Arabidopsis thaliana: one gene and its partner. The protein of the gene in region 1 interacts with the protein of each later gene in a pairwise test. Each region holds a gene or a part of one and is shown in the gene's direction. Other genes may lie near its edges.

The links.
Region 2: the proteins of AT5G42940 (region 1) and AT1G27690 interact in a two-hybrid assay, tested with the Arabidopsis thaliana proteins (one large-scale study listed by BioGRID).

Annotation. Positions count from the first base shown.
Region 1 is NC_003076.8:17,209,259-17,222,609, reverse strand, and holds AT5G42940 (RING/U-box superfamily protein), read left to right. Parts: upstream 1-1,937; 5' UTR 1,938-2,248; intron 2,249-3,351; 5' UTR 3,352-3,438; coding exon 3,439-5,061; intron 5,062-5,209; coding exon 5,210-5,269; intron 5,270-5,394; coding exon 5,395-5,493; intron 5,494-5,581; coding exon 5,582-5,722; intron 5,723-5,808; coding exon 5,809-5,961; 3' UTR 5,962-6,281; downstream 6,282-13,351. Other genes in the region: AT5G42930 (alpha/beta-Hydrolases superfamily protein), read left to right, coding at 8,458-8,761, 9,186-9,379, 10,208-10,241, 10,750-10,885, 11,009-11,492, 11,621-11,872; THO5 (THO complex, subunit 5), read left to right, coding at 13,088-13,339. UniProt on the Arabidopsis thaliana protein: Probable E3 ubiquitin-protein ligase that may possess E3 ubiquitin ligase activity in vitro.
Region 2 is NC_003070.9:9,631,532-9,642,614, forward strand, and holds AT1G27690 (lipase, putative (DUF620)), read left to right. Parts: upstream 1-5,056; 5' UTR 5,057-5,149; coding exon 5,150-5,551; intron 5,552-5,793; coding exon 5,794-6,144; intron 6,145-6,227; coding exon 6,228-6,776; 3' UTR 6,777-7,370; downstream 7,371-11,083. Other genes in the region: APL2 (ADPGLC-PPase large subunit), read left to right, coding at 99-311, 767-880, 957-1,130, 1,214-1,306, 1,383-1,466, 1,538-1,593, 1,671-1,764, 1,847-2,032 and 4 more; AT1G27695 (glycine-rich protein), read left to right, coding at 7,683-7,722, 7,798-7,842, 8,170-8,202, 8,314-8,471; AT1G27700 (Syntaxin/t-SNARE family protein), read right to left, coding at 8,863-8,888, 8,988-9,174, 9,269-9,757, 9,834-9,948, 10,145-10,221; AT1G27710 (Glycine-rich protein family), read left to right, coding at 11,019-11,083.

The DNA of each region.
Region 1 (13,351 bases):
TAACAAAGAGGAGAAGATCAATAAATTTTCCATGCAGGTTTGTGAAAATTTTTCCGTCCTCCTTCTTTTTGAACTTTAACTTGCTACTATTGGACCACCAATGTGATTTACTATTTCGTTATGGCCATTGATATCCAATGAGCTATATAATAGCTAGATCCAAAGAATAAGCTCATGCGCATAATCCGAAAGATTCATTTGCTACTTCTAGTGCATGTGCTTCAGATGTTCCATCCACTTTTTTTTGTCTATGATCATTTTTTACTGGTGAGCTTTGATTAGCAGCTTATCCAATGCTTCATCTTTTATCAAGAATTGTAGACAAGTAGCTTTTATAAAGTTTTAAAATTAATTTTTTTTTTGATAAACCCTATCAGCTGATCTGGTCGGTAGAATTGCACCTGTTTTATAGTAGACTTCTCTCCGAAAGACCACCATAAAGTTTGTCCCAAGTTTGGAGTGTTTTCCGAATTTCATGGATAATCAGACCGCCTGCATTTCTAACTACCATGTAAACCAGTTAGAATTTAGCCAAAACCCAACTAACACACTTTTCAGACAAATGTGTTTTTTTTCCAAAGATGGTCGAACTTAGATATAAAAATTTCACTCTTGACCAAAATTTTCTCTACCATATTGAGTAATTCAATTCTCTCTCTAAAAATTAGAGAAGTAACCCTCTAAACCAAATCATTTTAAAATGTATATAAAAACTCATTTAAATCATGATCAATTACAACATTATATAGAAATTCTCTCTTCTTCGAATCTCTCAAAGTAAGATGGTTATAATCATGTGTGTGGTTTCACTAATTAAACAAAGACACTTTGATTTTCACAATGAAATCAACATATGCCTTCAAAAACATTTCACATCCCAAAACAAATTTTAATATTCAAATACTTTTCAAAAATTAAAATTAAATTATGCTTTCAGGGGTATATGAAATTACTTTAATTTCCATATATCAAAGTTAAAATGTGCAACCATATTTGGATTTTATAAAATTTAAACAAAACATTAAATTTAAAATGATTTTTCTTAAAATATAAAAATATTATGTATGAATAGAATGAAATTTCTTCTTAAAAAAACGTTTCAAGAAGATAAAATTTATTTAAGGGGATGAACCTTATTATTTACAGTTCAGAAAATAATAAAGAAATTGATTGCTAATAATAAAATATTGACCAAAATTTAGAAGTAAATATTACACATAGACTTTTTGTTAACCCTAAAAAAACCTTTTTCGTTTTTTTCCTTTCTTTTATATATATAGGATAGGATAAAACCATTCATAAGTTAATAAATCTGCACACATATACTCTCTTTTTTATTACAGTTCACGCATTGATTGCAAACAATAAAACCAATATTGACCAATTAACTAGAAGTAAATATTATTAATAAAAATATTTTTTAACATGATGCACTCAAATAAAAAATATTTTTAGATTTTTTCTTTCTTTTGTATATAGGATAAAGAAAGACCATTCATAAATTGATAAATCTTGCCAGTACCAAATTTAGGTAACTAGTGATTCTGATCCACACGTATACTCTTTTTTTTTGTACATATATTTAAATGGGGAATCTAAGCTAATGGAAGAAAATAAACAATAAAAATAAAAAAGATAAACAGAAGGAGAAAGTAGACCAAAGTTACATGACAACTAGGAAACAAAAAGTTCGAAAAGAAACCGGATTTGTTCTGCTCGGTTAAGTTCCGGTTTAGTTCAGTATGAACAAATAAAAGTAAAACAAACGAGGGACGTGTGTATGGAAGAGGCAAAGGCTGAGAAACTTTTGGTTGGGACAATTTGCTTAAGTAATGACTAATGAATGACCCAAAAGAAAAATCCTATTAACTCTTTCTTCTTAAGCCAACTTGCTTTCTTCTTCAACATTACACATTACGTGTAACTGTAATTAATTAAAAATCTTTACACATTGAATTATTAGTTTTTGTTTATTCGTTGATTTAGGCATTTAGCAATTCAATTCAGTCTTTGGAAACTGTTCTTATGACTGACCCTTTTTAACTTTTTGATTCAATTTCCTTAAAATATTAGTTTTTATTTTGGGTTATATGGTAAATTACACATTGCCGTCTCGTCCTAATAATCCTCTTTTCTGTTCCCATTTGTGTTGTTGTGCTTTGCTTCCTTCCTTTTTCCTCATTCTCTCTTCTTCTCCTTCTTCCTTCTCCTCCACCACAAAGCGGTAGGTTTCTCTCTTCAACAATCGGTGAGTCTCTTTCGTTTTCATTAAGAATCTTCATAAAGTTTTGATTTTTATTGTTCTTAGATCGATTTATGTTCTGTATCTGTTTGGTTTTGGTTTTGATTTTGATTTTTGTGTCTTTTCTGGGTTCTATTGGGTTTTCAAAGCTCGATCGAAATAGATAAGAATCGGTTGGTGGGTTTTTTGAAAAATAGTTTTTTTTTTGAAATTTTGTGTCAAATTCTGTAGAATTGTTGTTGTGGTGAATTTATTATTCATCAGAAGGTAAAAAAATTATTTTTTGTTATTGGGTTTTAGATGTTTGAATCGGATCTTTACTTCTATGAGCTTGTTTTATGAGAAAGTTTGATTCTTTGAGGTTTTTGAATTGTTTTTTATTGTGATGATGCTTTATCTTCAAGCTGTGGGTTTCTTTTGTCTTTGCTTTTACCTTGCTGTTTCAATACATCTTTGCTTGGTATTGAGGATTTGTGAAACTTCATACGCTGTTGCATCTATGGGTAGTTGATATGTCATTGATGAGGCAGTGCTTATTTTGATATTTCTCTTGTTTTTCTGAATTGCCATTGTGGTGGTAGTTGAGTAAAATGTTTTTCACTCTTTTCCTTGTTTCAAAATTGGCATGCTTGTTACGTGGTCCTGGATTTTGTTTGTACCTCATTTTCATTGACGCTTTGTTTCGAAGTTGGCAGTTAGGTGTCAATTTGATAATTTAGACTTGAAGTTCTTTTGTGTTTAGAATGGTTGATCATATGAATTTTCTATCGCATCTGTCCTCTTATTTTTTAAGCTTGTTAATAACTCATGTGTCATTAGTTTCCTACTGAATCATTTGTGTTTTAGTTAGGCGTCGCATCTAGAAGTAAGTTGCATTTAGTAGTAGTTGCAGCGGTCTTGCTTTGAGTGACTTTTGCACCTTGTGCTCTTCTAGGTGAAGCAGATTATATGACTGTATATGCAATCTCAGGGTGCCATTTATTATTACAATTGTAGGAGCTATGTTTTGATTGAGTGTGTTTATATGTTTCTTATTACAGTTGACATCGTGTAGAAGCCTTTTCCTTGTCTTTGTTACTGAAAGATCTACTGTCTTTGTTGTTTTGCAGTCTCCCCATTAGGCACATTGTTGAGGGCAGGGTAGTCTCGTGAGTTCTCTTCTCCTGAGTGTAACTGTGGTTAAAAGCTTAGCCAAGATGCAGGGGGAGAGGGCCAGTCTTGGCTATTTATCAGAGGCCTTGAACTTTGAGCATGGTTCTTCTTCAAGTAATGGTGTGATAGATCATTGGGAGAATATTCACAGTCTTGGTGATAATGACTTGCAGGATTACATGATTGCAAATTCTGAATCAAATACTTCGCTTGCAAACTCAGTTTATCACGAGCAACAGGGTTTACGCAGATTTAGCCTTGGTGAGGCTAGCTCTAGTGGCACGAAGGATGAAGCTTCCAGTCACAATGAGCAACGAATGGAAACAAGATGCTTTGACGGACGAGGAAATGAAATAATTGATTTAGACCCAGTGTTTGCGCAGCCATCAGGCACAAATCAACCTGTTCAGAATGTCAATCTGAATGCAGAGTATATAGAAATTCACGAGGATATTAATCCATATAGAGGTCGGTCTGGCTTCATAGAAGCTAATGGACCAGGGACCAGGGTCTCACAACCTGGCAGATCTTTTGAAGAGAACGGTGTTGGAACAGGTTCTTCTGTAGAGGGACGTCGTGCATCCTGCAAAAGAAAAGCTCTTGAAGGCAGTATTAGTCAATCTTCTTCAGGAGGTTATCATGATTTCCAGCGTGGAGAAAGCAGTTCGTGGACCCCAGGTTCTACGGTTTTTAGGCCAGGAAATGGTTTAAACATATCTGGCTCCCTTGACAATGGACCAAGAGGAATGGTCTCCGGTACTGTACCAAATTTTCCTGTTTCTGCACCAAATTTTCCTGTTTCTGCCATTGCAGAGAGCTCCAGTAGAAATATATGCGTCAGGAGTAATCCCTCAGATCATCAAGAAACTGTAAACCCATCTACCTTTGCTGCGGGAACTGTTGTCAGGCGGCCTGTCCCTCCATCCCAGTTGAACTTGTCAAGACACTTACCAGCAGATCAGCATTCATTGGACTTGAGACCTGGACAGTCTTTTGTCGTTTCTCGTAACCCAAATTCTACTCCTGTGAGCATACCACCTGGTTCAAGGACTATGCTACCACCATTTCGGTGGACTGGGAGCTCACTAGTGGGTGGAACATCGAACTCTACTGCGCCCGTTGAGAGAAATCTTCATCTAGATGAAACCAGGTCAAGAAGCATACCCGGGAATACTCTTGAGATTCCCATGTTTGCAGCTCCTGAGGTAGGAAATTTTGCCCGTAGTCAGAGTAGCAGAAATGTAACAAATGGAAACCTGAATAGTGCATCATCAGTGTCCAGGACAGGCTCAACAACAAGTGTTCCACCACCACCACCACCATCTTCTAATCTAGCGTGGACTTCTTACCAGAATTCACCACATTATCAAAGAAGAAGGACTGAAAGGTCTGAACTTGCACGTAGGTCCTTGCTTTCTTCCCTTGCAGCAGATGCTACAAACCAGAGATCTGGTGATCATCCAACACTTCGTTCGTTGGCCCCTCCTGCCTCTTCGGATGGGCTTGTGCTTCAGCCTGGTGGTGATAATAGTCAGATGCATAATCGGGCTTACTCGAGAGCAGGTCCGTTGTTTGATAGGCAAGGGGATAGTGTGGTTGGTATTCCTCATCCTTTGCGGGCCTTGGCAGCTGCAAGCAGAGGAAGAAGCAGACTTATGGTGTCCCAGGTCAGTCGATACAAATTCTATTGGCATGTAGCCTTTAACGTGGATGGAATTTGTTAACTTTGGCTCATTCAGTTGCGCATAAATACCATTTGTTTGTTCTTCAGCAGTCACTCAAATAGAACTAACAATACGTTTCTCTTTCCGACAGATGCAGAATGTCTTGGATGTCATGCGTAGGGATGCTAATAATAACAACTTGCGGCTTGAGGTTAGTTTTTCCTGATTGTAGCGAAGTTATCTAAATTCGAACTTGTCTTGTGTCTGTCTCTGTTGATTTCTAGATGAACTAGCCTAATAACTGGAACATAAATAATCTGGATGCTTGTTTTCCAGGACGTTATGCTTCTAAATCACTCAGTACTATTTGATGGGGCTACTGGTCATGACCGGTATAGAGACATGCGACTTGATGTGGACAACATGTCATATGAGGTAAATTAAAAACCATAGTGAACCATAAATCTTTGTCTGAGTCACGTTAAATCACTAAATCTAACTCCTTTTGGTTCATAAACTGTAGGAATTGTTGGCACTAGAAGAGCGGATTGGAGATGTTTGTACCGGTGTAAACGAGGAAACCATATCAAACCGGTTAAAGCAACGAAAATACAAAAGCAACACAAAATCTCCACAAGATGCAGAGCCATGCTGTGTTTGTCAGGTAAAAATATACTAGTTACTGAAATAGCATTTAAAAGGTATAAGATTGTTTTTCGTCCGAGTATGAATGGTGAAAACTTGGTGCAGGAGGAATACACCGAAGGAGAAGACATGGGGACACTAGAATGTGGGCATGAATTCCATAGCCAATGCATTAAAGAATGGCTGAAACAGAAGAATCTTTGCCCAATCTGCAAGACTACAGGCTTGAACACCGCGAAGAAGCGGAGGATAGCATGATGATTTCTCGAAAGAGCTTTTTTTTTTTCTTAACTATTCAATTTTATAATCAAAAATGAAAGAAACAGAAGGTACCCTCAAGCCCCCACACCATTGCAGAGCCAGGCAAGTTTGTCCCCAATTTTTTTTAAAAAAAAGATAGAATTTGTTCGTATTTATAATCTGAGTATGAAAGATGGAAAGATTTGGATTGAAGGGAAAAGATAAAGGGTGGTAGGGAAATGTTGTTTTTTTCTTTTATGGATTTGTTTGGATAATTTAATTTTACCCATTGTCAATTAAGTTTATGAATCCTTTGAAAGAAGCAGGAAGTTGAATCAGCCGATTTTGAGAGAATACTTACTTTGAAAGCCCATATGTTGTTTTGAGTTACCTAGTTTGCTCTAATTGGTTACAAAAGTTTTAGGATGCAAAAATGTTGCAATTTTGGAGAAACAAAATCAAGTTGGATATGTGCAAATGGTTGTCCCTTAAGAGGCAGAGTAATAAGGTGAACAAGTTGAGTAAAAATTTAGTTGGAAGAATAAAATGAATAGATTGAGAGAAATAAGTTGTGTGTTGTTTAACTTGTTATGCTCGTATGATGGGACTTTAAGAAAAGAGATTTTATGGTAAATAGTAGAACTGTAGAGGAATGCAAAGGATTACACGTACGCTTTGAATGGTAGATATGGGCAAAGCGGACTAAAACAGTAACGGATTATAGTTTATGAATGGTAAACGAAAATCTCTTCAAACAAATGGATTTGTCTGTCCTAACCATCACAACCATTCCGGACTACAATATTTTTCTCAATTTTGTTACTCTAAATTAGAAATGTTTTGCATATATACTAAGGAGAACAAATCAAAAATCAAACTCTATTTGAAAGTCTTCCTAGAAATAGTAGCCCTCCAATATACAACAAGGCTAAGAAGAGCCGAAATTACCAAAGCAATGACCAACATATTGGAATTTGCCAATGCAACAACCAACAAATCCTAGAGGATTTACGGATCTCAATCATGTCCAAAGTCAAATGCAGAAAACTAAAGAAACTGAGGCTAGTCTTCAAATCATTAAGAGAAATGTTGATGACGTCCCATTCTTATCGACGGCACATGTTGACTTAAGTAAACGGTCCTGGAGGATATACGAATCTCAATCTTCTCTAGAGCTGTGACAGTTGCTTATTTCATTTGCGAGTTTTCATTCTGCGACTTATGTCATTAGGCGATTATGCGGTGTTACCAAATTTGAAACGAAATTGCATGTGGATGCATGTATTTATTGATGATTCCATTATGCTAAGTTACTTATCGTTTAGATTTTATATACTAATGTTTGTTGAGTGTTACACAAGAAAAAGTATCATGTTCATGACTCTTCGCGGTTGTACGCACGTCTGAAACTAAAGATGAATAAAGTTTGTAGTAGATTCCGAATGCCTTTTACCGTGAATATCTGGTGAAAGTATGGTATTTTCAACATTTTTCAAGAAATAAGGTGTATTGAAATATTTCGACCCAAGTACTACTACTAGTCATCGAGGCAATATATGTTTTTAGTACCAGATCCTTCGAATCATATAACCCTCGTGATGAGAATAAGTTTGGCTTGTGAATATAGATCAACCTTTATCAATGGCTAAAATTTCAGAATTTGTATTGATTTTGTTTTTCTTTTTTGTTTTACCTCATCCAAAATCATAAACACATACTATAATTCTTCAAGTTGAATTCGATTTCACTCTTTCTCGGAACACTATAATCCTACTCGCAAACCCAAATTTCCTCTTTTGATTTCATTTGTTGTATATATTAAACAGGTGGAGAATTAAGACAAAGTTCATAAACTAATTAAAATGGAGTTTAGTAAATCAGTTTGCGTTTTAGCACGTGGTCAAACTTCTATAATGGTCATAAACGGAGTTTACAAAATTTGGTGCCAAAGTTATGCCGCACAATTAAATATAGCTTACTAAAGTGCAAGTGTTCTACTTTTTTTTTTTTTTTATAAAAGTGTCTTCTAATTATTTAGGTTGAAGTTTTATGTGTTTTACTGTAGTAATAATAAAATTTTGAAAACCTGCTTTAAATTGATGGATTTTACGTGATATATATTCCAAACCAAAAAAGAAAGTATATAGAGTGAAATGTCTCGACTCTATCGAGTTTTAAATTTTTAATTAAAATTAAGACAATATGGGTTCTTAATACCTTGAAGATTTGTCAAACCATATTCGTCTCAACTCTCAAGCCTACCATACAACGCATGTGTGAATAATATTGACTTGTGGATATACACCAACCTTCTTGATACGACCATCGTAATCATAATTTATTTATACAATAAACAAATCAAAAGCATAGACTCGTGGCTTAATATGAAATTAATTATATTACTCTTAACATTATAAGTACACAAAGCTAACGTGACTTACCTTGCAAAACAACTCTTCCACGTTTTGAAGCTTAATTAACGTTGACGATTAAACCACAACCCAAAAAACAAAAATGTCTAGAACCAAAAACTACTTTGTGTTGGATCCGAGAGAAGCCACCGTCTCGGATCTTATACATCTTCTCTTCTCATCGGATCTCGGAGATAGAAAGTTCATCCATTCTTCGGAAGAGAGGATTGAGGATGATCTTTCCAGATTCCGGCGACGGTGGATTATCTTTGTATCCATCGTTATTCAAAAACTCATAATTCTCTTTAAGAAACCTCTCTATTTTGTTGGATTTTCTCTTGCTTGTTGGCTCAACCTTCTTTCTTCCAATGGTGGTTTCTTGATGATACTCCCAAATCTTTTCAAAGGTAAGATTGTCTTTTAAGATATTTTTTTTCTTTTGTATACAAGTTCGAGCTAATGGGTATACGTTCGGTTAATTACACTAAAGGTAAAATTCAACGTCGAAACATTAGAATTTCTTCATTAATTTTGAAATCCCAAATGGGAACAACGAAGATAATATACAAATAATTGATGGTTACTATGAATTATACTAGACAAAACATTAAGGTTGTAAGTTACTCCAAATGGGGTTCTCTGCTTTATCATAATCTTTTAATTAATTGAATTTTGAAACCAAATTTGAGAGATGACCTACAATAAAACTCAATTGGTGACACCAATGCGATTACCTTAATTTTATAACCTTTTTTGTGCGAAATCCGCTGTATGAATATCGTGAGGTAGACCCTAACTTTTAACAAATATATTATTTTGTAACTATTTTAGGAAACATTATTTGGCCGGAAAAAGCATCAGCGACGTTTGCATCACTAAACGGAAACCTAGACCGGCGGGTAGAGTTAAACCCGAAAGTAGAGAGAGGAAGTAAAAGATACAAAGCAATGTTGTCAATTATGGCTTCTAAGCTGTCTTACGAGAATATAAACTTTGTCAGCTCCGTTCTTCACAACCATTGGAAGGTTTTATTCTTTAATCTTTTCCTTGTTGTTTACAACTTTTACATGTTGCTAGAAAACGATAGTAGTTTTGTTTTGCTCATTTAAATTCACGTTCTATCATTAAAATGCATTTTTGGATCAAATTTGTTGAATATGACTGGTAATAAAAATAGATTAAGAAACTGAATTTCTTCGACATTTTATTATAACTTCACCAATCATATATATAAAACACAGTACTCTATATCCGCTGGAAGAAAAAAAAGAGAAATTTTCCTTTCCCGTAACATATTGAAGAAAATAACTTCTGTTAAATTGAATTTCTAGTTTTTCTCCATACTTTTACTATGCTATACACACTAGTCACAGTCAATATAATTTCGTTTGCCTAGTAAATGAAAAATGATTCTTTTTTGTTTGAAAAATTATTTTACTTTTTGTTGTCAATAATATACAATACACGGATTTGAATTTGGAATTTAAGAAATTAATAATATGTACTAGCAAAACTTACATATCATCTTCTATATATAATGTCTATAGATGATAACAATCAATTTTGGGATTAAAAAATAATAATTCTAGAGTCTTTTTCTTTTCTAAATAACATTTTTTTTATTGTTATTTTGTTTTCCTTTGTAAAGTAAAAAAAGAGAAGATTTTCCTCGCTTAAAGTTAGTTACATATAAAGACACGACAACTAATGCATATATAATCTCATTTAGCTGCCATCGTCCAATTATTTAACTTATCTAATAGCATGATCATGCATGATTTCCATTGATTATTAAATCATGAAATAATTGTGTTGGACTTATAATCTCTATGTTTTTATTAAATGTGGCACAGATGGACTTATTAGGTTTCTACAGCTGTTGGAATGGTGAGACTAATTCCCTTTTTTTTTTATATTATTGATGAATAATTAACTTAATGGGTCCGAAGAAGGCAAATACCACGTGAAAACACTGTCTGAAATGTGCAATATATTATTTTTCTTAACTAAAAAGAATTTGATTCCAATAATAATACTCAAATCAATGATAGACCAAAAAACTTTATATTTAGTTCAATTTATATATTGTCTTTCCTAAAAATCAATTTATAAAAAGATTAAATTCTCTTACCTTTTTGCCTCTAAATTAAACATAAAATTACGACTAGAAATTTTATGTTTGTATCTTTTAAATAGTTGTCTATGTGTGCTAAAATATTTAAAATTTTTAGAGACAATAACCTCAAATTCTCTAGAATTTAAATTTTCCTAAAATACTTCATATACAGTTTTTTTTTTCATTTTTTTCATATACAGTTTTAAGATCAAATTCATTTTTCTATTTATATTATATAAACAAAAAAAATTAATTTATTTTTTCTTCCTTGGTTTTTAGGTTACCAGAAACAAAGATCAACGGAGGTGATTGTTATAAAGGACACAAGTACAGATCCAAACCTCATCATCGTTAGTTTCAGAGGCACTGATCCTTTCGATGCCGATGATTGGTGTACAGACCTGGATCTCTCTTGGTAATTTTAGTTTCTTTTGTTATAATTTATTTCCACACACAAACAGTCTAGGTTTTTGTTTTTATACTCTTTAAGTTCATCCTTTAGCCCCCCTAATAAAACTAGTATTGATTTCCAAAATAGGTACGAGGTTAAGAATGTGGGAAAGATTCATGGCGGGTTCATGAAAGCTTTGGGCCTTCAAAAAGAAGGATGGCCTAAAGAAGTAAACCTTGACGAAACCCAAAACGCAACAACTCTATATGCATACTACACTGTTAGGCGTCACTTAAAAGAAATCCTCGACCAAAACCCGACATCTAAATTTATATTGACCGGACATAGCCTAGGTGGGGCTTTAGCGATCCTATTCACGGCTGTTTTGGTGATGCATGATGAGGAGCAAATGCTAGAGAGACTAGAAGGAGTTTACACATTTGGACAGCCACGCGTAGGCGACGAGGAGTTTGGAAATTTCATGAAAGATTCACTAAAGAAGTTTGACGTGAAGTATGAAAGATATGTTTATTGCAACGACATGGTTCCTAGGTTGCCTTTCGACGACAAAACACTCATGTTTAAACACTTTGGGGCATGCCTTTACTATGACAGTTTCTATAAAGGAAAGGTTGGTTGCATATATATGACAATCTTGTTTCTTTGCTTTAATCACTCATCCGTCTAATGTCGCTTACGCACTTACCCTACTGATGATATCTATCTACATTGTTGTTGTTTAATTTGTATTATGTTCAGGTAGAGGAAGAGGAACCAAACAAAAACTACTTTAATCTCGTATGGGTTTTACCAAAGATAATGAATGCACTGTGGGAGTTGATACGTAGTTTCGTCATGCCTTATTGGAAAGGTGGAGAGTTCAGAGAAGGATGGTTCTTAAGGTGTTTTAGGGTTGTTGCATTGTTGATTCCTGGATTACCTGCTCACTTCCCTAATGAGTACATCAATGTTACTCTTTTAGGTGACTTACCTGACTCGCATCTTGATTAAATTTTGACGAAGTCATAAATTCTTTTGAAAAGTTGATGTGTTTAGCTTTTCTAGGGTCTCGTTTCGGTGATGTAGGTGTTATTTTCTTATTTTGGCCTTAGATCATCCTTTCTTTCTCGCAATGATTCTACGTCTCACTTTATCTTTATCTGCATCAAGAAAAGAAATGCATAAATATTTCAATAAATACTTAGTGAAACGATTCTCTTACCTGCGAGTTATACACACAAGCAAACCAATATAACAATCAACAAATAAATCATGAAATAAATCAAACCAATGAACAATCATCCATTGACACAACCATCTCGGGGGATTGAATAATGGTACCAAAAATACTGCCTATACATACAACAAATAAATCACACAATCTCAATTGCTTAGATAATCTCATGGTCACATACCCACCTCGAAACAAGAATGATTTTGAAACCAAAAACAACAATCCCACAACGAGCAGTAACTTCCTACTCACCAACAATATCTCAACTCACCATACATCCAACTACAACAGCAAACCAACCTTTAACCTAAATTGGAAAAAATCTGAAAATAACCCAAACAATTGGTCTCAAATATTGAGTCACGAATCGCAATCTAACCGTCCAATTCAAATCTCCACCGTTGAAACTCAACCCTCAAGATGTCCTGAAGCTAACCTCAAAGTTTAGTGATGATCTGACCGCAGGTGCACTCGAGATAATTTGTTTAATACACTCTGGTCTAAATCACGTCTGAAACAGAGGACTTTACGAAAACACAGATAACTTTTAGAATATTAACTCAAATCCAAATCCGCAAAGTGGTAAATCTAGTTATAAGGCTTAGCTACAACTCAATAAAATTTCCGTACCATAGAAGGCTATTTGATTGATCAAACCTCTGTTCTACCACGACATATCTGATATGTCTCTCTCTTCCTTCACCAAAATTATCAAGTAGTTTCCTTTTTGGTGTTTTTTACATAATATTTTTGATATCAAACCAAATTTTTTCTTGTCTTTATACAGAATTTTCTGAAAAAAAATGTTACATAATCTCTTTTACGCAATTATCATCCCATCATGGAGTAGATATAATATTTGTAACAAAATATAGTTTACATAAAAATCATAAATAGTTTGACAAAAAAACAAAGAACAAAAAAAAAGAAGAAGAGAAAAATCATAAATCCTGTCAGAAGTACCGGAGCGAGCCTGACTGGAGAAATCGAGAATGGAGGACGGCGAAATAGAGGAAGGAATGGTAACTGCCGACGAATTCCCGACGCCGGAAGTAACTACCATAGAGACTATACAACCTCCCCGAGAGCCAGGAAAATCTCCACTCGAGCTACTTCGAGAGAGCAAAACCTCCGTAGAAGAAATCGTCGCGAAGATGCTCTCCATGAAAAAACAAGGAAACCACAAATCTGAGATTCGAGAACTCCTCACTCAAATGTTCCTCAACTTCGTCAATCTTCGTCAGGTACTTACCAAT
Region 2 (11,083 bases), on another chromosome or scaffold:
GAAAGCTGATATCTTTTTAGAATCTGATCTATCTCTTCTACTTCATTTCCCTTGCATTTTTTTAATAAGTTGTAGAATCTGTCTTGTTCTGGAAAAATATGGAGTCTTGCTTTCCTGCCATGAAGCTGAATCAGTGTACCTTTGGTCTCAACAACGAAATTGTCTCTGAGAGAGTTAGTGCGTTCTGGGGAACCCAAGTTGTCAAGCCCAATCATTTGAGGACAACGAAACTTAGGAGTGCACCTCAGAAGAAGATTCAGACAAACCTCATTCGCTCCGTTCTTACTCCATTTGTTGATCAAGAGTCTCATGTAAGAATATTTTACACTTGCAATTCCCAAACCAAAAAAAAAAAGATTCTCTGTTTCCTTGGAAATGAATTGAAGTCCTTGGTTTATTAGTTCTACTTGTGCATTTGAGTCTGCCTAGCATCAATTCTGTGTGTCCATGTTTGGTGGGAATTTGATTTGGACTGTGTTGAAAATGACTTCTTATGGTGGTAAGATGTTGCAACTGCTCAAAGTTTAGCTTTAGGTCTACTATAACTAGCCTAGGACTTAATTTAGCAGATGGTAGCGATTGTGAGTTGGTTGAGCAGTTTAGTGAGGGCTGGCTAATAAGGCTTTTAAGGTTTGGTTGGGCAGGAGAGTCTGTCATCAATCAAAATTTTCTGGTTTAGTGAATTGAAGCTTCTTTTCTTAAATTAAGTCCCTTGGTAGCTTTATTTCTTCCAAGTCCTATTCTGATATAAAGAATCATTTTTCAGGAACCTCTGTTGAGAACTCAAAATGCAGACCCTAAGAATGTAGCGTCTATCATACTAGGTGGTGGTGCTGGGACTCGCTTGTTCCCTCTTACAAGCAAGAGAGCTAAACCTGCGGTGAGGATTGTTTTGTTTGTCCATTGTTTCTTATGATTCATTGTCAATGAGGTTTTAAACTTGTTAATAATCGTAGGTGCCAATTGGAGGGTGTTACAGGCTGATAGATATACCGATGAGCAATTGCATCAACAGTGGTATTAGAAAGATCTTCATCTTAACTCAGTTCAACTCATTTTCTCTCAATCGCCACTTGTCTCGTACTTACAACTTTGGCAATGGAGTCAATTTTGGTGATGGGTTTGTTGAGGTGATACCATTACCTGCCATAGATTAGATTTATCTTCCTGTGTTTTTATTTGCTACTAAAGTTTCTCCTCTGGAGATGATTAGGTCCTTGCTGCAACCCAAACTTCCGGAGATGCAGGAAAGAAATGGTTTCAGGGAACTGCTGATGCTGTTAGGCAGTTTATATGGGTCTTTGAGGTCTTCTTTTGTCTTTCATCTCTTAGTAAGTGTTCTTGTACATTGTTGGAAACATGATATGGCGGTGTTTCTGTAGGATGCCAAGACAAAGAATGTGGAACATGTCTTGATCTTGTCTGGGGATCATCTCTATCGGATGGATTACATGAACTTTGTGCAGGTTAGTTTTATTTTTCTTATTTGTCCACACTGAGCTTCATGTAAACTTTGTTTCATTTCTCGTCTTTGCAGAAGCACATTGAGTCCAATGCTGATATCACAGTTTCTTGTCTTCCCATGGATGAGAGGTGTGTCTGAGGATCATTAACATTGTTTCTTGCCTTGTTTATTCGATGAACTTATTTGAGTTTTTCCTTATTCACAGCCGTGCTTCGGACTTTGGGCTGCTTAAAATTGACCAGTCTGGTAAAATCATTCAATTCTCGGAAAAACCAAAGGGAGATGACTTAAAGGCAATGGTAATGATTTATTTTGTTTGTCAAAACGTTCAGTTTCTTGCTTGCAATATTACGAGAACTTAAATGTTTTTTGCGTTTTCAGCAAGTTGACACTTCCATTCTTGGTTTACCACCGAAAGAAGCTGCGGAGTCCCCATACATTGCATCGATGGGTGTTTACGTATTTAGAAAAGAGGTTTTGCTAAAGCTTCTAAGGTCAAGTTATCCTACATCCAATGACTTTGGTTCTGAAATTATCCCGTTGGCCGTAGGGGAGCATAATGTTCAGGTCTGGTTTTTCTTCATTTTTTGTTTAGCATATCACATCATCAATCAATATTTGTGTTTCCTCTGACCTTTATTTATTAACTTGCTGCTACATAGGCATTTTTGTTCAATGACTATTGGGAGGATATTGGAACCATAGGATCATTCTTTGATGCCAATTTAGCCCTCACGGAACAGGTTTTCACCGACTCTTTATTGTTTCATCTCCAGTGCAGGGTGGTGACTCAGTGAAACCTAATCATGCTATTTGTTTCTGTTTTGGCAGCCTCCTAAATTCCAATTCTACGATCAAAAAACACCCTTCTTCACTTCTCCAAGATTCTTGCCACCTACCAAAGTTGATAAATGCAGGGTACAATATCTTGAATTCGATTATCCCGTTGTTTCAGCTAATGATTCATCGATCCTCATGTTGTAAAGTGTATTATGGAATTGCAGATACTTGATTCCATAGTTTCACATGGATGCTTCTTGAGAGAATGCAGTGTGCAGCACTCAATCGTTGGCATACGATCACGTCTCGAGTCTGGAGTAGAGCTTCAGGATACAATGATGATGGGAGCTGATTTCTACCAAACGGAAGCTGAGATCGCGTCTCTTTTGGCGGAAGGGAAAGTTCCGGTAGGGGTTGGCCAGAACACAAAAATCAAGAACTGTATCATTGACAAGAACGCCAAGATCGGGAAGAACGTGGTCATAGCGAATGCAGATGTATGTTTTCAAAGATCTTTTTGGTTATTTTGAAGAAATGGTTGTCTGATTTTTTGTTGTGTTGGGTTGTGGCAGGGCGTGGAAGAAGGCGATAGACCAGAGGAAGGGTTTCACATAAGATCAGGCATCACCGTTGTGCTGAAGAACGCCACCATTAGAGATGGTCTGCATATTTAAGCTTTTAAACCTCTCTTTAGGAGCAGTGTATGTGGCTTCTTGTGATTTTGTAACGAGACTAGTTACGTTCGATTAATAATTTAATAAAACAAGAGGCACAAACGAATGACAGTTTTAGCAACTTTAAACGTGATCGTTAATCTTGGTAAATCTTAATGATTACGTAAAACACAGAGAGAAACCAATCACAAACAGACGAGAAAAAAGCATGTGTAAAATTCTTCACTCTCACGATCACAAGTCACAACACAAGACTTGAGACTCCCATCCATATATACACTTTACAAATTATAGATATTTCATTCGAGTTTTATGGGACTATAAAAAGAGTCATAAAACTCTTGTCTCTTATTGCAGTGAGAATGAGAGAATAGGTTCTGAAGACTAAATGGTCTGATCTTTAGAGAAGGTAAGGACCACTAGAAGCTACCTCACCAACTCAATTAGTGTCAAATTAATCCAAGGCCAACAGTCCTGAAAAAGTCTCCTAACTTTTTATGTCTGCAACTGTATATGGGACATCCCTAGTTTTCTTAATTTTGAATCTTGATTCTTGAGTTAAAACAAAAACCCAAATATACAAGTATGCATGAAACGTAAACTTTCAGAGAAGGTTTCTCACATTAAGTATCCTTTGAGTTAAGTATATAGTCCATAAGACTGTTTTTGGTTTTAATTTTAGTATTTGTGTGTTTGGGCCTCCCAAAGATTGTTGGCAGAAAAGTTGTCATTATCACTGGACCAAACTCGCATGCTCAATATTTATCATCACCAGTTATAATTACATACACCGACTGCTTTTTTAATTTTATTCATTTTATATTCTCTCGGCCTCATGGCACCGTTACTTCCCGCCTCACGTTGACGATATATGAGAGAATATTTTATCATCATATCATAGTGAAGATAATAGCACAAAATCACAACACAAGTTTTTGGTAAGTAATGATCGTCCGCTGTAATGATCGTCCGCTCAATAGGGTTATTGGTAAGTAAGAATGAACCTGAGCTATAATAACTTGATATCAAAATCGTGTGTGATTGTAGAAAAAAAAAATCTTATAAATGATTATTTGTTTACTTTTTGTCAAACACTTATATATAAGGTATTTAAAACTAGATATAAGGTATTTTAGACTGGTAAAACAAAACTAAGAAAACAATTATATGAACTAAATATGGACGACAAAAAAAAAAAAAAAAACATAAGAAAAGTTATTTTTTTTTCTTTTGTCGTCCATAATTATTTTTCTGTTTGAACACACAAAGGCGCACTTGAGAGTTTAGAAGTACCATGGAAAATGGTTATTTGAGGTTAAAGATGAAAATGAGTAAGAAGCAACCATATAAATATATATCCATTCTAATTTGGTCCCATGAATCAAATTGAAAACTCCAGAAAAGGAAGACTATTTTTAATAATTTTGTGTTATGTTGACCTTTTGTGACTTATGCTCATGCTCATGCACACCCTACTCGTCTATATTGTATATTGCTTTTAGTAATATAACACCTTTTTTTTTTTGTTAAAATAGTAATATAACACTCAATTGCTTTGTTTTGACTTTAATTAATTTCCATCTCTAAGAGCATGCCTTTCGTGTTCCTTAAGGCTAATTGCTCACTAATTTATGCTGCTTTTGAAATAAAGTATTATATATATATATATATATAATGATTAACATATTATCAACTTTTATGAAAAAATCAAAACATATTAAGCAACTCCTTTTAACTCGTTGTTGTGGTCACAAACTGTAACAAGTTTTCTTCTTATCCAATGTGGAACGAGTTAGCCCAAAAAAAAGACTTGAGAGAAAGAAGACAAATATGAATGTTTTATGTCTTATAAATGGAATGTAAAACCATTTCAATAGAAAAAAATAACAAAAAAATTCTTATACCAATTTTCATAATTAAATCTTATCCCGAATCCCATTTGCCTGTAATAATGAGACTTTTAAAAGTTTTTATTCGAGAAGCAGTGATTCATAATTTCAACGATGTCGAGAAAAAAAATGTGTATAACCCTAAATAATAGCCAAAATAAGAAAAGAATAATTAAATTCCAAAAGAAATGGTTAAAAAAGCGAATTAACGAATTAAATTCGACATTTATATTTTGCAACCTTCCCTTCGACGCAAACATTTCTCTCTTTTTTCTCTAATCACCAAACCTGCGTCTTCTCTCTCACACTACTAACAACACTTCCTTCTTCTTCTTCCGACTATGGATAAGAAGCACGGCTTGTTCTCCAAGTCTAATTCCCGGCGACCACGATCCAAGAGTCCAGTCAGAAGCGTCTCTCCGATCATCATCCGTCGCCGGAAAGGCCGTTACGTCACACAACCGGACCGGCACATGTCTGAGATGCTTGCTCCGGTTATAGAAGGTCCTGATCCAGACGCTGAAGACTCCGGAAGCAGTGGTGATTACTCTAGGTTCGAGAGACGTTGGTACAATTGGATGAAATGTCAGCTTCCGGTGGCTCCGCCGTCAGTATCGTCCTCTTCGGATTTCAAACGAACGGATCTGAGGCTTCTCCTCGGTGTTCTTGGCGCACCTTTAGGTCCTGTGCACGTTAGCGCTCTGGATCTCCTTCCACACCTCAGTATCAAGAATACACCTATGGTGAGCTCTTAATTCACTGTTGTCTCCTCAAAATTAGGACAGTGTTGGGGATTTGGAGTTAATCATGTTGAATTAAGCTCTTCTGTGCCATAATCTAGCTTGAATTTAGCTGAATCTTCTTTTAGTTGCCTACTAATTACGGAGAAAGACTGCGCAATTAATTGAGATTTATCAAGTTTTATCTCTGCTTTAATGTGTTGAGGGTAAAGTCTAATGACTCTTACTAATACTTGAATTTTCAGGAGACTTCCTCTGCTCAGTACATACTTCAGCAGTATACGGCTGCATCAGGAGGTCAAAAGCTTCATAGTTCTGTGCAAAATGGATATGTTATGGGAAGAATCAGGACGATGGCTTCAGAGTTTGAGACAGGCTCAAAAGGTTCAAAGAGCAAGAATAATTCGTCAAAAGCTGTTGAGTCTGGAGGATTTGTGTTGTGGCATATGAATCCTGATATGTGGTACATGGAGCTTGTTCTTGGTGGGAGCAAGGTTCTTGCAGGTTGTGACGGGAAGCTTGTGTGGAGACACACACCATGGCTTGGACCTCATGCTGCAAAAGGACCGGTTAGACCATTACGACGTGCTCTGCAGGTTAGGCCTCTTGTCCCAAGGAAGCCTTCTCATACACTTTTCTTTGCTTGCATAACTGAATTGTTACTGTTGTCAACTTTCAGGGACTTGACCCGAGGACCACAGCGTATATGTTTGCAAATGCAAGGTGCATAGGAGAAAAAAAGATCGATGGAGAAGACTGTTTCATTCTCAAGCTATGTGCAGACCCGGCAACACTCAAAGCTAGAAGCGAAGGGGCATCAGAGACCATAAGACATACGTTGTTCGGTTACTTCAGCCAAAAAACCGGTCTGCTTGTTCACTTAGAAGACTCCCAGCTAACCCGAATCCAAAACAATGGAGGCGAAGCGGTTTACTGGGAGACGACCATCAACTCATACCTAGAAGACTACAAACCTGTCGAAGGTATCATGATAGCTCACTCTGGTAGATCCGTGGCTACGCTTTTAAGGTTTGGAGATATGTCATCAGGACATAACACTAAGACCACAATGCAAGAAGCATGGGTCATCGATGAAATCTCGTTCAATGTCCCTGGCTTGTCTATAGATTGCTTCATTCCACCTTCAGAACTCAGATTTGATTCCCACGTTGAAGACTTATCTCAAGGCCCCAAAATTAGGACATTGCACGGCCATAAAAATGGTTGATGTGAAGAAGCAGGAGATCAATGTGTATAACTCATTCAAAAACAAACCCTAGACCGGTTATTTTACTTTTGCTATTGTCGAAGCTAAAATTCTTGTAGGAAGTTTCGTTGAAGTTGTAAATAGACAGCAGGAGAAGTTCGTTCTTTTTGCCGCATAATGTTAGGAATGTGTAGTCTTAGTAAGGTCAGTCCAATTTTTAGTTTATAATATTGTTTCATATACTATGATAGAAGCTCCCATCTATTTCACCTAATAGCATATAGTATAAAGAAATATTACTTGGTCATCCATACCAATTGGAACTGATGAATACGATCTTCCTTGTATTGTATATCAATAAATTCATAGTGTGAGTGTAGTTTCTTTTGTAGCACAAACTAGTAAATGTTATTTCTCCTCCTACTGTCTATTTCAAACCGTTGCTCATTAGTTTACTCCAAAAAATGGCCATAAGTACTTATCTGTTTGTCTGTCTCAACCATCCAAATCCTATTTGTGAGTTGGATTTCAATGGGACATGAGCATTTTTGCATATGGATTGATCCATTTGCTCACTAGATCGTTTTATTTTACTGTTGACTGTTGTTGACCTTGAGAAAAAGAATTAGGCCGGTTCACTGTTGACCAAATTCTTTTACATAAAATCATTTTGAAAATAATCCCGGTTCATTAGTTAAACCGGTTCGATTAATTTGGTACGTCTCTAAAACAAATCGTCTTCACCTTTCTTCTCTTGCTTTCAGGGCTTGCGATTTTAAGTGGGGGAGGTAGAGAGAGCAATCTACCAGATTCACCGATTACCAACAACAAACAAGGTATCATCGGGTAATTCAGATTCGCAATTTCTGCTCATTTGAATTTATAGATTCCTAAATTGGTTTCTTTTTTTTTCTTGTGAAGATCACTATGGTGCTCTCTGACTTCACTGGAGTCGGTGTTGGATTTGGTAATGCCCCCATTCGCAATTGTTTTCTCCTTTTAATTTTGATTGGAATCGTAATTTAGTTATTGGAATTCATAGGGTTCGGTGTTGGTTGTGGATTTGGCGTTGGATGGGGTTTTGGAGGTTCGTTCTCAACTTCTCTCTTTTTCTGCTTTTACTTGAACAAAATCTGGACTGAATTACAAGATAATTCTATTGGAACAATTCTCTTGCTAGTTGCTATGGGATGTGCAATGCACTCTGCTGTGCTTGTTTAGTTTTGTGATCATATTGCTTAATGTCTCTTATAGAGATTATCAACTCCTACATATCATCTTTACTCAAATGCTTCTTCTTTCCTAGCTAATGGTTGCTTAAACGCATAGCTAGTATCAGTTGCGCTTACATTTTGATGGATTCATACTATTTTGCAAACCTACTGAATTGGAGATTTCCGTTGCTTTCATGCAGGAATGCCTATGAACATCTTAGGTGTTGGTGCTGGTAAGCATTTCAAACTTCTACTTCAAATATCCCACACTCGCATAGATACACACCGAGCAGGTTTTTCCTAAATTCTAATTACGTAACTTATGCGTCTGGTATTTGACAAAGGTGGCGGTTGCGGGGTGGGTTTGGGCCTCGGGTGGGGTTTCGGGACTGCGTTTGGGAGTCACTATCGTTCATCTAGACTTACATTTCAAGGCATCGAGTTAGAGACTGCCGATAAACGGGAGGAGGTGGTGGCTAACATGTCCAAAAACTCCACTTAAGCAGTCGTGTGCTTCAATACTCTGCTCGGATTGATTGTAAAAGAATTCTGACACCTTTTCTTATTTCTCAATGAAACGGTTACTTCAAATAATCCAATACGAAATGCATTTCTGTATTCTGAATTGTCATTTTTAGAAGGTTCCACTTCAATCTTGGGTTTAGTCCCAAATAATTCTACAATGGTTAATAGGATTGGTGCCTAAGAAAACAATGATTGCTCAATGAAACCCGTTTCAAATAATCGAACCAAAAAAATGCATTTCTATATTACAAACAACCAAAAACAGTTGGAATTTACTGTACAGTAAAAATGTGGATTGCCAAATTCGTCTCTTTCGCTGTTACACAGAAGATGAATGAACTCGAACCTTGCTATTCCAAACCTCTCTTCTACATTGAATGCACTGCAACTACCACTGCAATCAGAAAAAAAAACAATTTATCTCAAAACTCAAAAGTGATGCAGTAAGCTTTGCGTTCTAAACATAAATGATTCAGAGTTCAGTAAATCTTACCAATAAGAAAAACTAAAAGAATAATCCAAATTGCAGCGTGAACCGATTTACTATATCGCATTCGATACTGAGACCGTTGGAGTTGCCTCTGTAGAGCTCCATACCAACCATGAAGCTGCTTTTCATAACAGTCCTCCTCACACTCCATACAACTCTTGCCCCTCTCTGAACATCCATTCATATCTTGCTGAGAAACAAAAAAATAAAAAGCATTTCTTAGCAAAGATTTTCAAAGCAGGAGGCAAAAATCTTGCGGTTGGAGATCGATCGATCAAACTTACTTGGTTAGCTTGGATAGGTAATAAAGCAGCATCAGAGTCTCCTTGACGATCTAAACCCTTCCACTTTCTATTGCAATGCTTGGACACAGGATCCATATAATTCAAGAATCCAGAGAAGCTAGGTACTTTCCTCGGAGGTCGAACCACTGGCTCATCACAAGATTTCTTCACTAAACCATCATCAGAAACCGCAATGTTCCAAGCACTGAATTCAGCAGCACTTGCAGTCCTTCTATGTCCATTAGGATTTGCTTTAGCAGATTCAGATGGACCAGTCAAGAAGAGAGCAAGCTCATTACGATCATCTTCATCCAAACGAACCCATCTCGGTGTTCCTTTCCCATCGGATTGCGCAGCTTCCTTGAGAGATTTCTCGATTTTCGACACTTGAGCTTCCATTACGAAAGTAAACTCACGATGCCTATCTCTAGTTTCATCACTCAAACGATTGTCATAGCTAGATTTGACAGCTTTTTGGAATTCATCTAACTACACCAAAAATATTACAGGTTTCATAAATCAACATTACAGATTAAGAATCTGAGTTCTGAGGAAAGAAAGAAACCTGCCATTTGGTGGTTCCAAGAGCTGCGTGAAGATCTCTATGAAGCTGCTCAGAGTCCCATACTTTTGAAGAGTCTCGTTTCCCATTGAGCCATGTCCTGTACGCTGACTCCATCCTACACATGAATCGAAGATAACAACACACATTGTGAGATTTCAGATCTAAGACTTGATTTGATTAATCAGAAATCGTAATCCCAAATCCGAAGCAACACGAATCGAATCGTCGACATTGCATCACCAACAATGAGAGTTTATGGTATCACAGATTCAAAACGAAAATTGGGAGATGAGGATCCGAAAAACGCAAACCTGTCGGCAGATTCCTGAACTTCTTCAGCAGCGGGAAAGAAAGGATCTTTCTCCCACCGATCCAAACTCGTCGTCATCACTTGAGCAGATGAAAAAAAACAAACTAATTTCCTAATCCTTGGAAGATGAGAAGAAACCCAGAAATGGAGGAAAATGGAGAAGATGGATGGATCGAGAAAGATTTCAGAGAAGAGAGGGAACGTTCGTTCATCGATTAGCCAAATTACGGCCTTTCGTTACACACACGTGCGAAAATTAGTACTATTAATGTTTGGTTTATTCAATGTGGTTCTCAATAAACCGGTCCATAATCTCTAATTCTCTTCATTTTGGTTAACGCTTTATTTATGACAGCATAATTACCAAAAGAACTAGTAATCGAAAGTATGATTAAAGGAAAAAAATATGCCATGATCCTACTTTTGATTACTTATGACTTATCTATCAATTTTATTCATGTTATAATCATTTTATTACAGTTTCATAATTCATTGTTTCCTCTGGAACATATGTGTGATAACCAATATGTTCAAATCAGATCAATGGATTGGTACACGAGTCACTCCTTGTTTTCTTTTATTTAAGAAAAAACTTGAGACTGCAAAATGAATAATAATGAAAAAATGCAGCAAAAAGTGTGGGAAAAATCATGCGAATGAGAACCATCACCTGTTACACCTTTCTGGTGAGTCACCATATATGCACCTCTCTCTCTCTCTACTGGCACGCCCATGCCAACCATCACCGTTGTATTATGTCCCAAGATATATAAATAGTGGTGTGTGTTTGTGGCTGTGTATTATTCAAACACACAAGTCCTTTTACTTCCTTTTTCAGATTCTAAGCAAACAAATTGTGTCACTAAGCAGCCATCATGGCTAGAGTGATCTTGTGGTTTCTTGTTTCCTCGTATCTTTGTCTCATCGGTCATATGATTGC